Linked DNA regions of Oreochromis niloticus. The protein of the gene in region 2 purifies or fractionates together with the protein of the main gene of each other region. This does not show direct contact. Links are inferred from orthologs where the notes say so. Each region holds a gene or a part of one and is shown on either strand. Other genes may lie near its edges.

Region 1 (7,915 bases), on a different chromosome or scaffold from region 2:
GCTGTCCGATTGGGGTCCGGAATGTGGGGCCTCCCTGCTGCTGCTGAGTCAGGGCAGTCTGCTTCTCTCCACCCCAGAGAAAAGGGTAACACTACCTGGGTCTGGGTGCAGTTTCCCCCTCCAGGGGCAAGGGTACCTAGACCTGGGGTTTAGAGTACGCTTGGGGAGTGTGATTGTGTGTACACTGTCTGTTTATGTCTGTCTCCACATTGGGTGAGTGTTGAGTAATTGCATATGAGAGCATGAGGGTGGGAATGGATGTTTGTATCTGTTCTTTGTGTCCGGGGATGGGCGTCCGGGTACACACCGGCTCACTCCTGGTGGCTGCTTGTCGGGGCCTGGAGCCCGGGGCTCGCTCGGGCCACTTCGGGGGTGGGGGGCCACTTCGGGGGTGGGGTGCCCTCGGCCTCTCGGCCTAGGGCTCGGTCACTCTGGCACAGCTGGCTGCCGGCGGAGCTCACAGGCACGTCACTGCAACCCCCCCCCCGGCTTCTCTCTCGCTCTTTCCGGGATAGTGGCGCGGCTGCCCCTCTGTTGGTCTTCCTTGGTCTCTTGTGTTCTGAGGGCCTCTGGATGTCTGGAGTTTTGATCTCCTCCATACCTGCTTCATGCCCTGGAGGACGGGGCTGTCGCCCCCCACACCCTCTAGCAGATCATTACATGAAGGAACCTTTTAAATACAAGCGCACTCATGCTCACAGGTGTACACACAAACTACACCCTTTTTGGCTCCTACCTCAAAGCACACTGTGCGCTGTCGATCTTACGTGCTGCACAATAATGTTTAATATTTAGTATTTACTGTTATATTCCCATAGATCATCGTGATGATGTTGTTTATTATATTGCTCTCTTTTTTTCTGCTTGTTTTCTCTTTTTTCTTTCTCAACAGGTGATCCAGGTGATTGATATATGTATTTCTTGTCTGCTTATTTTGTTGGTTTTTGTTTTTTGCCCTTTTCCTCTTTCCCGCTGTTTTTCTTTCCCTTTCTTTCGCCCCTTTCTTTTCCCCAGTCAAGTCTGTCCCGTATTTAGCAAGTGAAAATAAAATAAAATAAACAATAAAAGGTGAATCAAATAGACCATTACGGCAAGGCTGGGATGGTCCATTTGGTAAAGTAAATCCGTTGGGCATCTTCTTCACCTTTAGACAATAATTCTGATGGCAAAAGAGCCAAACGGGACAGGCAAAAAAAAAAAAAAAAAATTCATGGAATTTTACGATAAAAACTGTCCAACAATAAAATGCAACAGAAAGCACAAAAATTCAGATAGACCATGGATCACTAAGGGTTTACAAAAGAAAAATACACTCTATAGGGAATTCCTAAAACAAAGAACAAAAGATGCTGAAAATAAATATAAAAAATACAAAAATAAGTTGACCAATATTATATGTGTATGTAGAAAGGAGTATTATAGTAAAACATTGATCAACAATAAACATAATATGAAGGGAATATGGGATGTTTTAAACTGTATCATTAAAAAAAAAGTATCACAACTCGAGCCAACCGGAAGCCATGGCTAACAGGAGATGTCCACAGGCTGCTGAAGGCCAGAGACAAGGCCTTCAGAGCTGGGGATGAAATAGGCCTGAGAACAGCGAGAGCCAACCTGTCCCGTGGCATCAGGAAAGCGAAACAGGACTACACACACAAGATAACCTCCCACTTCAATGATAGCAAGGACGCACGAAGCCTATGGCAAGGCATCCAGGCTATTACAGACTACAAGCCTGCAGCGCGTAGCTGTGAGAGCGACACCACTCTGCTCAACAACCTGAACAGCTTCTTTGCACGATTTGAAGCACAGAACAACACACGCCCACAGAAAACACCACCACCTCCACACGACCAGCCTCTGTGCCTGTCTGCTGCCAGCGTGAAGAGGACACTCATCACCATCAACGCCCGGAAAGCAGCGGGTCCAGATAACATCCCTGGTAGTGTGCTGAAAGACTGCGCAGAGGAGCTGAAGGATGTCTTCACAGACATCTTTAACATCTCCCTGAGGCAAGCCACTGTCCCATCATGCTTCAAGACTGCCACCATCATACCTGTGCCAAAGAAACCATCCCCAGCCTGTTTCAACGACTACCGCCCCGTGGCACTGACACCCATTATCATGAAGTGCTTTGAACGACTAGTCATGTCACACATCAAATCCACCCTGCCTCCCACCCTGGACCCATACCAGTTTGCATACAGAGCGAAACGATCCACAGAAGATGCAATCTGCTCTGCCCTCCACCCAGCCCTAACTCACCTGGACAAGAAAGACTCATATGTGAGAATGCTATTCATAGACTTCAGCTCAGCATTCAACACCATAATACCACAACAACTCATCTGTAAACTGGACAGACTGGGCCTCAGCACCTCCCTCTGCAACTGGCTGCTGGATTTCCTCAGCCAGAGGCCTCAAGCGGTGCGTGTGGGCAACAAGGTCTCAAACAGCATCACCCTGAGCACGGGGGCTCCACAAGGCTGTGTGCTCAGTCCTCTGCTCTTCACCCTGCTGACACATGACTGCACAACAACCTACAGCTCCAACCACCTTGTGAAGTTTGCGGACGACACAACGCTGGTGGGGCTCATCACCAAGGGCGATGAGACCCACTACAGGAAAGAGGTTGAGCTCCTGACCACGTGGTGCAGAGACAACAACCTCCTGCTAAATGTTAGCAAGACCAAGGAGGTTATTGTCAACTTCCAGAGAGACCACACCTGTCACCCCCCATTGACCATCGACGGCGCTGCGGTGGAGAGGGTGAGCAGCACCAAGTTCCTGGGGGTGCACATCAGTGAGGACCTCTCCTGGACCACCAACACAGCATCACTGGCCAAGAAAGCACAACAGCGCCTCTACTTCCTGCGCAAACTCAAGCGGGCAAGTGCTCCACCACCCATCCTGACCACATTCTACAGAGGAACCACTGAAAGCATCCTTTTCAGCTGCATCACTGTGTGGGGCGGTAGCTGCACTGACTATAACAGAAAAGCTCTACAGCGCATTGTGAGAACAGCTGAGAGGATAGTTGGTGTACCACTCCCCTCCCTGCAAGACATCTACACCACCCGCCTTACCCGCAAAGCCATCACAATTGTCAACGATGCAACCCACCCCGCGCACTGCCTGTTCAGCCTCCTGCCCTCCGGAAAAAGATACAGAAGTCTCCGCTCCCGCACTACCAGGCTCACCAACAGCTTCATCCACCAGGCTGTGAGACTGCTGAACTCTCTCCCCTCCCGGCTCCCAGCCAGCAGAACCACCAGACTGGCAGGAGTATAGGAAGACAGACTGGACCCCCCCCCACACACACACACACACTCCACAACAAGGAAACACTCTCCACATTCCTGACTGGAAACGACTACCTCTGCATTACAATTGCACACACCTGCTGCTATATATTTTTAGTATTTTCTTTAGCACTATTTATATTATTTATATTACTATTACTGCTGCTACAGTCTTATGCTGCATTAAAACAAAAACACTTACCAACCACAACCTGGGACTACGTCAAGTAGACAAGTACACTACTTTCCAGGGCGCACTGTGGAACACTTTATTATATGTTATGTGTAGGTCCTGTCTTGTTACATCCTGTATGTACCTAAATGTTGTGCATCTGCACTTTATTGTTGTCTATGTCTACGCATGGGACAGTGTGAAACGTAATTTCAATTCCTTTGTATGGCAAGTACATCTGAAGAAATTGACAAATAAAACTGACTTTGACTTTGACTTTGAAAAATAATTCTGGACAACAAAGTTAACCTCAACATTTTACTGAAAATGGCAATATTATGGAAAACACTGCTGATGTGGTCAACAGCTTTAATCATTATTTTGTAAATATTGGACCAAATCTGGCAGAACAAATTCCTGAGTCACTGCCATCAGTAGACTGTAGTGAATGCCTGATTGATAGGAACCCTAACTTAATGTTCCTCACAGCAGTGGAGGAAAAAGAAATAACTGACACTGTACACATGTGTAAATATAAAACATCTACTGATTGTAATGATATTGACATGAAAATCGTCAAGAAGGTCATAGAAGGAATTGTAGGACCTCTAACATATATTTGCAACTTATCATTTCAGACTGGAAAAGTTCCAAACAAAATGAAAATAGCTAAAGTTGTGCCGCTGTATAAAACTGGGGATAGACACCACTTCACAAATTACAGGCCTGTTTCTTTACTACCACAATTCTCCAAAATCCTAGAAAACCTGTTTAATAAACGATTAGACAAATTCTTAGATAAACATAAATTACTCTCTGACAGTCAATATTTCATTTCATTTCATTTCATTTCATTTATTTATTTCACGCTTGGTACAACAGTATATATATATGCTAACAAATTAATAAATAAATAAATAAATAAAAATACACGTAACATATAATGTAATTAGGTATTTCTGTAGTCTATTGATTACTAGATAGTGGAAAAGGGGTGGGATTAAATAAGCTTATGCTTCTTCCTGCTCCTTTTTGAACATGAAAGTTATTTGTAGTTGTGGTTGCTCGTTTTCCTTTTGTTTTGCTTTGTTTATTTGTCTGTTTTTAATTCTATGTTGTTGTACTTTTTCAACATGTTCAAAATAAAGATTCAATCAATCAATCAATCAATGGTGTGGCCCATCAGCTTTATCCCTCTCTAGTGCACTTCCATTTCTCAGGCATCCTTTCAGTCTTCAAAATTGTGCTATACTTTTTAGCACAAGACTGCTCTCACTCTCTTAATAATTTATTACAATAATAAGAAAAAGAATAAGAATAATATGAGAAGTTTAGCTGAAACGATTTAATTGTTTGGTTTAATTAACTAATCAGCACACGGTGGCGCTTTTGCTACCATTTTTGAACATAACATAAATAACTCTTGTGGTATTTACCAATATTTACCACTAGGGGCAGGCAGCTGTGCTCAAATATTTGCCGAACGCAGAAGAGGAAGAAGAAGCGTTGCATTGCGTGACTCCGTCATCACGTACAACGTGTAGCACAGAAGAAACATGGCTTTGAATGGAGGTTTGTGAACTTGTGTTATAAAAACAAGCTGACTTTGACATTTCTGTTGCTTGCCTGCATTGTGATTTAAAAAAGAAATTATTTTTATTGAGGCTGTTCCTCTGGGTTACTTTATTTTTGCTTTTAAATTCGTCGCTGCCAGCGTAAACATGTTGTTAGCCAAACGGTAGCCCGGCTGGTTTGCTAGCTAGCTTGTCATTTCCTAGCAGAGCAGTTCACCTGTGATAGTCACACTTCAAAACAGTGCCAAAAAGGTTTTGTAATAATCCCGCTGAAACGGTAAAGTAGAAGCAGACATATAATAGTATCCACAAGTTACAGCAGCGCTTAAGACTGTTTATAATCCTAAAGTATTAAGAATACGAAAGAAGGAGAGTTCTGGTCTGAAATCTGAAAATAAAATTAAACGTTCTGGCTGTTACTGACCTGCAGATGAAGAGGATTTTAAGTGGGAGCCTCCAACAGAAGCAGAAATGAAGGTGATCCAGGCTCGTAGGGAGCGGCAAGACAAAATCAGCAAGCTGATGGGAGACTACCTGCTGAAAGGGTACAAGATGCTTGGAGACTGCTGCGAAGTGTGTGGGGTGAGTGAAGCAGGACGCTGTGCTGTGTTTGTCAGGTTGGGCGAGTTAGCCTCTGAAATTTTATCACGGTCGTTTATTAAATATGCAATAGTTATATTTCTAAGTATATAGAAAAATATGAACGTTCTGTGATTGCAGCTCCCAGCCAGCAGCATTCATAAATGCAAACAAAATGAAGACTGCCTAATTTGAAGTGTGGATCTATTGTCACAAGATGCCAGCAGGGTTATAGTGTAATAGTACTGACACTGCATGATAAACAGTTAGAGAGCAAAGGCCAAATGTAAGCCCAGAAATGGCTTAAATAATGTAATCCCTGGAAATTTTCAGTAAGCGCTTAAAAAAAGGTTAAAATAATAGCAGTTTCACAGCAACTATTCCAACTAAAGGAACTTAACCTGGACCTAATAAAATTAAATAATATTTTCTACCTGGGATGTCATAGCTTAGTTGAGCTTTTTAACCACCTGTTTAACACAGGAAGGAGGTCATTTTGACCCTCTTGGCATTTTAAAAGTTGTGTAACTTTGTTAAATTAAAACCCCATCATCATCTCGTATTTCATCAAATACTGAATTTTGGAGTGTGGGATCAAAAGGGAAAAATATTATGAGTGCTTTTACCTAGAACCACGGAGGACATCATTTTGACCCCATAGAAACTGATGTGAAACCACTGCTGCAGCACACAGGGTTGCCTAGCAATACCGTGTTTACACATGAGCCAGACCTTGCCAGATATGATTGATTAAAAACAGTATGTAGGGGGACTGTAGTTAGAGCCAAGGTAAATAATTATTGCAAGGCTGAGGATGGGATTTCAAGCCGAAGAGGAGTGGTACAGAGCGCTGTATGACTGAATGTGTGAGGAACCAGGAAGGTTGATGGCTGTGCAGAGCAGCAGAGGAGCCGTAGCTGAACTGAATAGAGAGCCTAGAGGATGCAGAGCTAATCCGAGCAAATAAAGAGTGAAATCCAGAGCACAGCAACCAAATCTGTTTTACTCTTGAGCAGGAGAGGTGAAGAGCTGCAGACTGAGGCAGAGGAGTGAGCACACAGATTTGGTGATCAAATTTAACTACTGAGGGTTCTAGTGTTCATCTATAAGCGTTACAGTTCTGTTAGGATGTCCCAAAAGGGGAAATCTGATAAGTATTACAAACACATAAATATAGAAAAAAAACCCTAAATAAATAGGGTAAAGTGTGAATTTTATAAGTTAGTTTTAATGTGAAGATGGCACAGATAGATCTTTCAAACTATATAAGATTTGTACATTTATATTTTCGTCATCATTTTTTCTCTCTTTTCTTCATCTGCCTCATTCACCACTTCTCTCTTCTCCCTTATGCCCACCTCATCCTCTTCCTGCTCACCTGTAGTCTCATCTCGTGAGCTGAATTACATGCTTTAACATAAGAAAATGTCAATAAACATACTTATTTAGTCCAGATTTTACCTGGTTGTCAGCAGATTAGACACTCCTGTCTCCAGACAGCTGGCAACATACCAACTATAACAACACCACCTGGTTATACGCTAACATTGTGCCAGCTAAATAAAAATCCAATATTCCCTCCGATAAACAGTTTGATTACACTCTCACATCGTCTGAGATTTTATTCATACAGGCTGACAGCGTTAGAGCCACTTAAAAGAAAGCTTCTCACACAAGCTCACATCAGGGAAAAACGAAAAAGCAGCGTTTATTGACAGAGAAGTAACAACAACTCGCCATCAGTAAGGAGTGAGCTTCTCTGACTCATTGACTCATCACAAGCTTTTACACCCTCCTTCAGAGTAAATGCACATGGGGGATTCTCACCCAGCATATTGACAGCTGAGGTAAACGGTGATCCGAGAGTCTTCACTTACTACACATGAATGCCAGACAAAGTGACTGGGATGAAAACGTGAAATATCGCCTAATGTTTAATTGAAATGTGTCTTTTTTTTCCCCTAATTTGTTGTTAGGTGTCAGTGTTATTCAAATATTTTAAAATATAGTGTGTACACAAATAGTAGTAGAAACATGCATTTAAGGGGAAGTTTAGAGCAACTGTTATGGGGTGTAGAGGGTTAAAACCGTCCTTTACCACCATATTAACTGCATCAGTAATTTCAATCCGCTGTACGCTCTTCCTGTCATGTGGAGTGCCCCAGCGATGCTCAGCGGAGTCATGTTTACATTTGGTTTCACATCACCAGCTGCAGATATCTCTTTTTTTGTTTGACTTGTATTACACAGTGTATTTTTGCCTCAAGCAGTGAAACTACTTTTTT
Region 2 (7,787 bases):
TGGTCTCAACCAACGCGGCCTTCCGGCCTCAGGGATCGATAGCTTGCCCTGACCAGAGATGCCCTCTGGATCCCGGGAGTTGTGACAGCACACGCCAGCGCACTGCACACTGCACACTTTTCCATAATCCCTCTGCTCCTCATCTTAACTCGACCTCCATCTGCATCGCAGTGTAGCCGGACCAACCGTGAGCTGTGGGGACTGAACGCTGCGAGGCCTGGGTCAGTGAATGTGCTGCGGGATGACTTGGAAAGCAATGGCAGGTGCACTGCTGCTCACTCTGAACCTTATTTTGCTGGGGTGGGGAGCTGAGGGCCAGGGAAACGGACGTGATAAGGTATGTTACTGCGATACACAATGCCTAGAATTAAAATGTGCACTCTGTGTGTGTGTGTGTAGGAAGTATCATCTATATGCACCTTTTCAGCCTTTAATGAAGTCCCTGATTCTCTGCAGAAGCATGGATGACTCTAGTGACATATATTGTTTCTGCACACTTACATGCTACAGCTCCTGATCATTGGAAATATCTGCATGTATCATTTAGATACATCTTTTTCTTTGAGAAAAATCTACTTTGTTGGCTCATAGGTTATGTTTTAAAGAATAAAAGTCTAAAAGTCCTGAGCTAACTCATACTGTATCCAGCTCATGTGCCAATCAAAAGGGGAGGGGGGATCCCATCATTTGCTTAGACTTTGCTCAGTTTGCTCAGTTTGCAGACACATCGGCATAATTAAGATAAGAGAGGAAATACTTTACTTTTGTCCCAGTTTCTGGAAATTACTAACACAAAAAGAAAAGCAAGACTTGTTTTTCCTCTTAAATGTTCTACATACACATGGTTCATATCCACAAGTGAATGTTGTGTGGTTGCTCTTGTCAATGAAATGCAGTGATGTGGCACTTCATCACCACTTAATAATTTGCGCACACTGCTCTGTTCAGCTTTTTTTTAAAGTCGAATCAATAACTGAATAAATTTCATCTCTCGGTTTAATGTGGTTTTAACGAGCAGCCAATGAAGATCTCTGAGTGTAAAATACTGAGGCCGAGTTCGATAAATGAGAGCTGCGTGTAATAAAAAGCTGTGAGTAACGACCTAAGTGTCAGATCAGTGCGAGATGAAGCTTGTGTCTTCCAGAAAGAGGTGCCGGGCAGTTCTACCGTCTATCTGGGCCAGAACACGCACGACTGGAGGCCGCTGATCCACACAACGGTCAACCTTAGTCAGATCGGCAGGTACGTGAGCGATGGAGCAAATCAGTGCACCGTTAAGCCTGCACAGCAGCTCCTCTGTGGGCATAAAGGTGCACACAATTCTTCTGGGATTTCAAATTAAAACGTGACCTTGAAGTTCAGTTTTTACTGAACAGGCGTACATGAGCTCTCTAAGATCAGTCAAAGATAAATAAGGCAGGTTGTCTTATTAATGCACCAATGAGCAGCCTTCACTCCAATTTACTGTATCTTTATTCTGCCACGCAGCATCAAATCCTCCTTTCAGTTCCGGACATTTGACCCAGAAGGTCTGGTTTTCTACGGAGACACACAAAACGGGGATGACTGGTTTGTTTTGTCGCTGAAAGACGGCGTCCCCCTGATGCAGATCAACAAAGAAGGCGTGCTCGTCAGCGTAGCGGGCACCCCGAGGCTCAATGACGGGAAATGGCACACAGTAAGCATCCAGTGATCACTTGGAAATCAGTTTGCTGAACTCTAATTGGCTAAAGAACTGCTTTATGATGCTTTTTAAAAACTCGCCCCCTTATCCTTTTCCTTATTTTCTATATTTTCATATATATATATATATATTCTCACAGTAATGGATGTTCATATTAAATATTGAGGTCAGTTTATATGCAAATTATTATGGTTATGGTCATATAAGGAACACAGCTGTGAGCACACAAATCCCGCCCATCTGCTGCTCGTGGTTTGTTTGCAAGAGACAGCCAATCAGAAGAAAGCTGGAGTAGCCTTGAAGGGGGAGTGGCTAAAACTGCTGGTTTCAGGCAGGGAGAGAACTCTGGAGCTGCACAAAGGCTCCGTATAAGAAATTATGAAGGGCTCCTTGAGAGCGCGAGAACAAAACCATGTTCGAAATGAGCATAACAGCTCATCTTAAAACTGGCTAACTGTACCGTTTGTTGTTCTCTTGATGCCACCAAGATGGAAGTGAGCAACCAGGGCAAGTTCGTAATTCTGGAGGTGGATGGCACTGGCGGGCTGGTGGTGGGCATGCATTCCAAGCAGATAGAGGAGGTCATTCACGGTAAATTACGACTGTCCCTTGGCGGGATGCTGATCGGCAAAGAAAAGATGATTGTTCAGGTACTTTGTGTATTTTGCACCTTTTGTTTTAAACCACACTTCAGCTGCAAATAGACCAGATGCTGTTTTCCTCTCCTTGGACAAGACCTCTGGAAAATAGCTTCTTGAACATGTCTGAATCATCCACCTCGTGCCCTCTTCCTTTAGTTCAATCCCAAAATGGATGGCTGTGTGCGGAAAGGCAACTGGCTGAACCTCACCGTCCCATGGGTGGCAGAGGCAGACGAGCTCCAGCCTTGCTATGAAAACATCCAACCTGGCAGCTACTTCCCTGGCACAGGATTTGCCATTTTCAACACCTCAGGTGGGAACACTCTGCTAAATTATCCCAGATACGAGCAAGTGTTTACACTCCTTTATTCAATAACAAGCTTTCCAGCTGGCCCGGATATTGCATTTATGCATGATATGGCATCTCGGGTAGCAATATTTCTCCTACTTCTAAGTAGTACTCCTTCTAATCAGATTCAGCACGTTAATTTGTATTTATTTAACCAACTCAACACATCCACACATTTCTTTTTTTCCCAGATTTCCAGATCGATGAAGATCACGGGGTCCGTATTGAACTGTGGGGGGATTTCAGCCAGATGGACGGGACCCTTTTGAGCATCAAAGCTGATGGGGAGGAGCTCGTGTTCTCTGTGGTAGCTGATAATAACACAAAGGTATCCACATAAGTCAGATGTATTTGCCCTCGAAGCAGGATTATTAACTTAGAAATGATGTTTGTTTCATGCAAATAACACACACAGATCAGTGTACGTCACAGTTCTGTTTCCATTTGGCATGCAGGACTTCACATTCACCTCTAGAGAAGAGGTGCTCACCATGAAGAACACTTTCAAGAGGCTCCAAATTAAGTTTCAGAAGGATTCGCTGAGGGTGGTTAAACATGAGGATGAATCATCGGCTGATTTTTCAGTCAGTGCAGGGAGCAACACCAGTTATTTATCAGCTTGGAGAGATGGTCATCTTGCCATTGGAGGCCTTTTGGGTGAGATTGCAGCTTTAAAGTATTTCAGTCTAATCCTGTATCACTGTGCAGCAACACAAAAAAAGGATCTGCTCTGTGTAACTCGTGAAGACGATCAATTTCTTCATCTATTTTGTCTTTTCAGGTGAGAATGACGACGATGTCGGCTCCAAGTTCTTGACAGGCTGTCTGGAGAAGATCCAGGTCCAAGGGAAGGATTTGGATCTGGATTCGGCGCGCGTCAAACACGTGTCCGTTTCCTCTCACAGCTGCCCCGCTTAAACCACGAAAGCATGCTTACACTTTATGGTATGCTGAGTAGACATGGTGTTTGCAGTGATGAGCACTAAAGTGTTTTAAGTCAGAATTTTATACTTGTACCAGTGAATCTCCAAAGTGTAAATAATTTAGTGCTAAATATTAATATTTTATGAGATGTCTCTTCCACTTTCCCACTTTTAACACAACATACAGATAAATCTGATAAATGTGAGCAGTTTTGTGACCCTGGTACGTGCAACAGCAAGCTGCTGAATAAAATATGACTTTCCCTAAAGTGGTTTCTGATACATATTCATTTTTCTGGTATATTTTAAGGCAAAATAGAGGCGTAAGATGTGTTTGAGGATTGTAATCCTCAAACACATGAAACAGATCTTATTTTGTTATGAACACCTTTATTCTTCAGTTTATTCTTCTTCAGTTTTTTGTTGTTGTTTTTTTTTTGTAATTTCTTTTAATAGTCTCCAGGAATAGTTGTCCAGGCTTCCTGAAGGACATTCAAGGCTCTTCTTTGGATGGTCGAGGCTACCATCACTGAGTGTAGTCGATGTCTTTTAAAGCCAAATTTTAATTCTAATTTTCTTCAATTCTTTCAACTTAGGTTCAGCCAGTCTTTTCACGCATGCCTCACAAGAACCCGCTCGCTGTCGCCGAGTGACTGATCTTAGACATGAAAATTGCTCCCTCTAGTGGTTAATTAAATATAATGTTAAATTCATCAGAGCCTTGTGTATGACGTCATCTATCCCATAAATTAGATACACGGAAAAAGTACAAATATTACTCATCAACTTTAAATTATAAAAGAAGAAAAGAAGAAAGACTATAGCAAATATGAATGAAATGTTCAAGATCAGTTTCAGTTAAAATTATGTCTGTATTCACTTATCGCTGCAAGAAGTCATCAAAATGTTATGTGCAGCTTTGAAATGAACTGGAAGATGTGAAAGGTCGGGCAACACAGACAGATAAATAGATTTATTTTCATTCAAAACATTATATACATTTGTTTCCCAAGACAGCGTTAAACTAGCAGTAAATAGAATAAAAAAATATAATAACACCTATTAATATTTAACTAGACAATCATATAATAATAAAAACACATACATAAAGCGATAAAATGCAAACTGATAACGAACGTGACTCTAACTGTAGTTAAAGTAGAAAGTTTTTAGCCCTCGAGCCAATAAAGTGAGAAATAATCAAAAGTGTACAATGAGGCTACGGTGAATGTAGAAGCGTTAGCTTCTGAACCAAAGCGTTTATATAGGCTTTAAAATGACGCCACGCTTTCAGTCATTAAAGCCTGCGGTGCGGTTGCTAACGATTCCACATATCTGCCGGCTGCCATAATGTTACTGTCGCAAAGCCTCGCTGTCGTGAATACTGGCCGCCCACTGAAGATGGCGGCGGAGCTGCATCCGCGGAGCGGAAAGCTGATCGGCCTGTCCAACTCGAACCGAACCGCCCGTCGCAACCAGCCAGTCCAGGAGTTCAATCACGGCCTGGTGCTTAGCAAAGAGCCGCTGAGGGACCGGGATGTCTTCACCGTCCGCATTGACAAGAAGGTAAACAAACTGCAGGCCCGTTGCTGGCTCCTCTGAGCGTGTGTGAGGGCAGCGGGACGGGAGCGGAGCTGGAGGGACGAGCCGGGGGTCTGTGGCTGTCCGCGGTCTAAAGCTACTGCTGCTGCTAGGGCGGCACACACAGGGCTTGACAGTAGCCGCAGTGTTTACGGCTCCTCAGGCTTTAATTAGATACACCGACAGAGACTGGGGAGGACCGCAGGGAGCTGATAAACAGCCTGCTGTGGGCTGGATGTGATAAACGAGTCTCCTAGCTAACGATAGCCCGCCCGTGTTGCCTTGGTGCCGTCAGATAGCCGTGCTAATGAGCCGCTAGCAGGCTGGCCAGGGCTAGCCTTTCTGGAAGGTGCTACGAGGGCTTTGTCTGGCGCTGACAGGGACCCGGTATCGTTTTATCGCGTGAAAGAATCCCAGCTAAGCCGGTAAGTGCGGCTCTTTTAGGGCTTGTTTTGAAGGATCGGTCGCCTGTCAGGCTGTCTGTCCGATGGCTAATAACACTGCAGTGTTCACGCCACACGGGGCTATCGTAGTGACTCAGAGGCCATGTGTGAACAGTACACAGTGACTACACCGAGGCTGTTACCACTGTCATTAATATTAACCAGAGCCTGTGTGCTGAAAGCCTCAGCTCTGCAGCCTCCGCTCACCTCTGTGCGTATGCAAAGCGTCTGCAGACCGCTAGAATTGCTGCTCAAAAAGTGGAGCACGGAGGTGACTACTTCATGCTGTTACTCATTAATTACATGCACTCTTTCGGCTGACTTCACAACCATTTAAACACAAAATCACGGATATCATGTGTCTAACTTTACTAGACCTGCTGCTGTTAACAGTTTTCATCATCAAGTTAAGTGCAGGTGATCTCTTTCCTTTCTTTTCCCTTCATTTCCAGTCAAAGTCCTGCCTCTCCTCCATCACAAGTGCAAAGAGAGCTTACAGCTACAGTTCACATCCACTGATGAAGCTTAAACCAGTTTTTAATTATGTAATTTTGCAGGTAGAGGTGGCCTAATGTTCTGTTTCCTTGAATTAGCAGCCTTGACCTTGTTATCTCCATGCATTAAGAGTGCCTGTGCAGAGTGTTTACATTTCAGTTGTGGAAAACCTCCGTTGTAATGGCTTCTGTCTCTGCAGTCGGCCTCCCAGCTGCGCTTGCCAACAACATGGCAGCACTGGAGTCAGTGCCAAAGCCAACTGGGCCCCACACACACACGAAATGACAGTGTGTCCAGCCGTCTAAAAGCATAGCGTGTGTGCACGTAAAGCATCTGGCTTAATAGCACCTGCTGCACGTTAGATAATTATGCATCCCTGGTGGAGCTCTCAGCCTGATAAAGGCTCTCATAAACAGGCTCCCGCCCCGTCTTTGCATGCATTGCCAGTCTGAAAATCAATAGTTTGTCATCATGGAGCACCCGCTGGTATGACTCTGAGTGCTGACGTCCAGGGTGGGGGGACGTAAACACATGAGGGGGAATGAAGTGATTTATTGGAGCAGGACTCTGCGGGTGTTTTTTCACTTGAGGAAGAAAGAAATGATCTATGATAGGATTCAGCAGAAGATCCAACTAGTGAGATGGAATACTCTGTCACGCGTTTTGCATACTGGGAGTTACTTAAAGCTAAAATGATTAGCTGTGTTTTGTCTTGTGTGACAGTATCAAGTTTTGAATTGTGCTTAATGTGATGAGTAGATCAATATAATTGGCACTAATATCTACTTTGAAATGCTACTTTTCTTGCTGTTACTGTTTAATTACGAGTTAACGCTAAAGTCATAGGTTTTCAAGTCTAACGTGTTTTTAAAAGCACACAAATTCAGCAAGTTGTGCCACTTTGTGTTCCTCACAGTCATGCCGATCTGGCTGGAAAATGTTTATTCGCTCCCAAATGGGAGTTTGTTGTTGTGAGAATTTGTGCCCCAAAAGCTGAGCCTCTGCGTTTCCTCTCTCTAGCGGTGCTCCCCATAGGTGGTGCTTTTGAAATCGACAGGCTATAAACTTCTCTGTTTCCCTATAAAAGATGCTCTGTTGTCCCGCTCAGTGTGTATATTTGCAGCCTGCGATTATTAGTCTTTTAGAGTCGAGTCGAGTGAAAGACTGGGAGGCAGACGCCCACAGGCTGCTGTTACGTAAGCGAGAGCGCGAGGGAAGGAGATGTCTGTCTCCTCCACACACACAGACCCGGTCAGCCTGAGCTACTCCCAGATCTGTTAACCCAGATACCCTGGCTGCGGTAGCACACTGCCTTACATAGCACCTGCCGCGGAGCTGAGGAAGAGGTGGGCAGGAGGAGGCTGACTGTAGTGTTAAAAAAAAAAATGGTATTGATCCTGGGGAAAGTGTCTTTGGCACAGAAGTCAGCTGCAGAAAAACATCCCAGGAGCTGGAAGGGTTTCAGTGATCGGTCACGGTCATCTCTTACACTGGAGTCCTACTGGGGGTGGGGTGGGGGTGGGGGGGTTATGACTGAGCATAAAGCTGAGGCTTTTATCCACCGCTGAGGTTTTTGTCAGATCCCTTTCTCCTTGAGCAGCAGGTGGAGTGCAGCGAGCCAGGAGACGAGTCCTCGTCGAGACGACAGGGGTTCGTGGCTCTGTGTCGGCG

The links.
Region 1: the proteins of neurl4 (region 2) and znrd2 purify together in Homo sapiens (co-immunoprecipitation; 4 studies listed by BioGRID and IntAct, with this or other methods). This does not show direct contact. The link is inferred for Oreochromis niloticus from reciprocal best matches to the Homo sapiens genes NEURL4 and ZNRD2.

Annotation. Positions count from the first base shown.
Region 1 is NC_031975.2:19,045,996-19,053,910, forward strand, and holds the start of znrd2 (protein ZNRD2), read left to right. Parts: upstream 1-4,913; 5' UTR 4,914-5,033; coding exon 5,034-5,049; intron 5,050-5,481; coding exon 5,482-5,633; intron 5,634-7,915. UniProt on the Homo sapiens protein: Might play a role in mitosis. Antigenic molecule. Could be a centromere-associated protein. May induce anti-centromere antibodies.
Region 2 is NC_031967.2:17,604,372-17,612,158, reverse strand, and holds the start of neurl4 (neuralized-like protein 4), read left to right. Parts: upstream 1-4,775; 5' UTR 4,776-4,947; coding exon 4,948-5,163; intron 5,164-7,787. Other genes in the region: shbg (sex hormone-binding globulin), read left to right, coding at 230-337, 1,145-1,242, 1,489-1,678, 2,173-2,334, 2,482-2,638, 2,866-3,002, 3,130-3,331, 3,456-3,592. UniProt on the Homo sapiens protein: Promotes CCP110 ubiquitination and proteasome-dependent degradation. By counteracting accumulation of CP110, maintains normal centriolar homeostasis and preventing formation of ectopic microtubular organizing centers.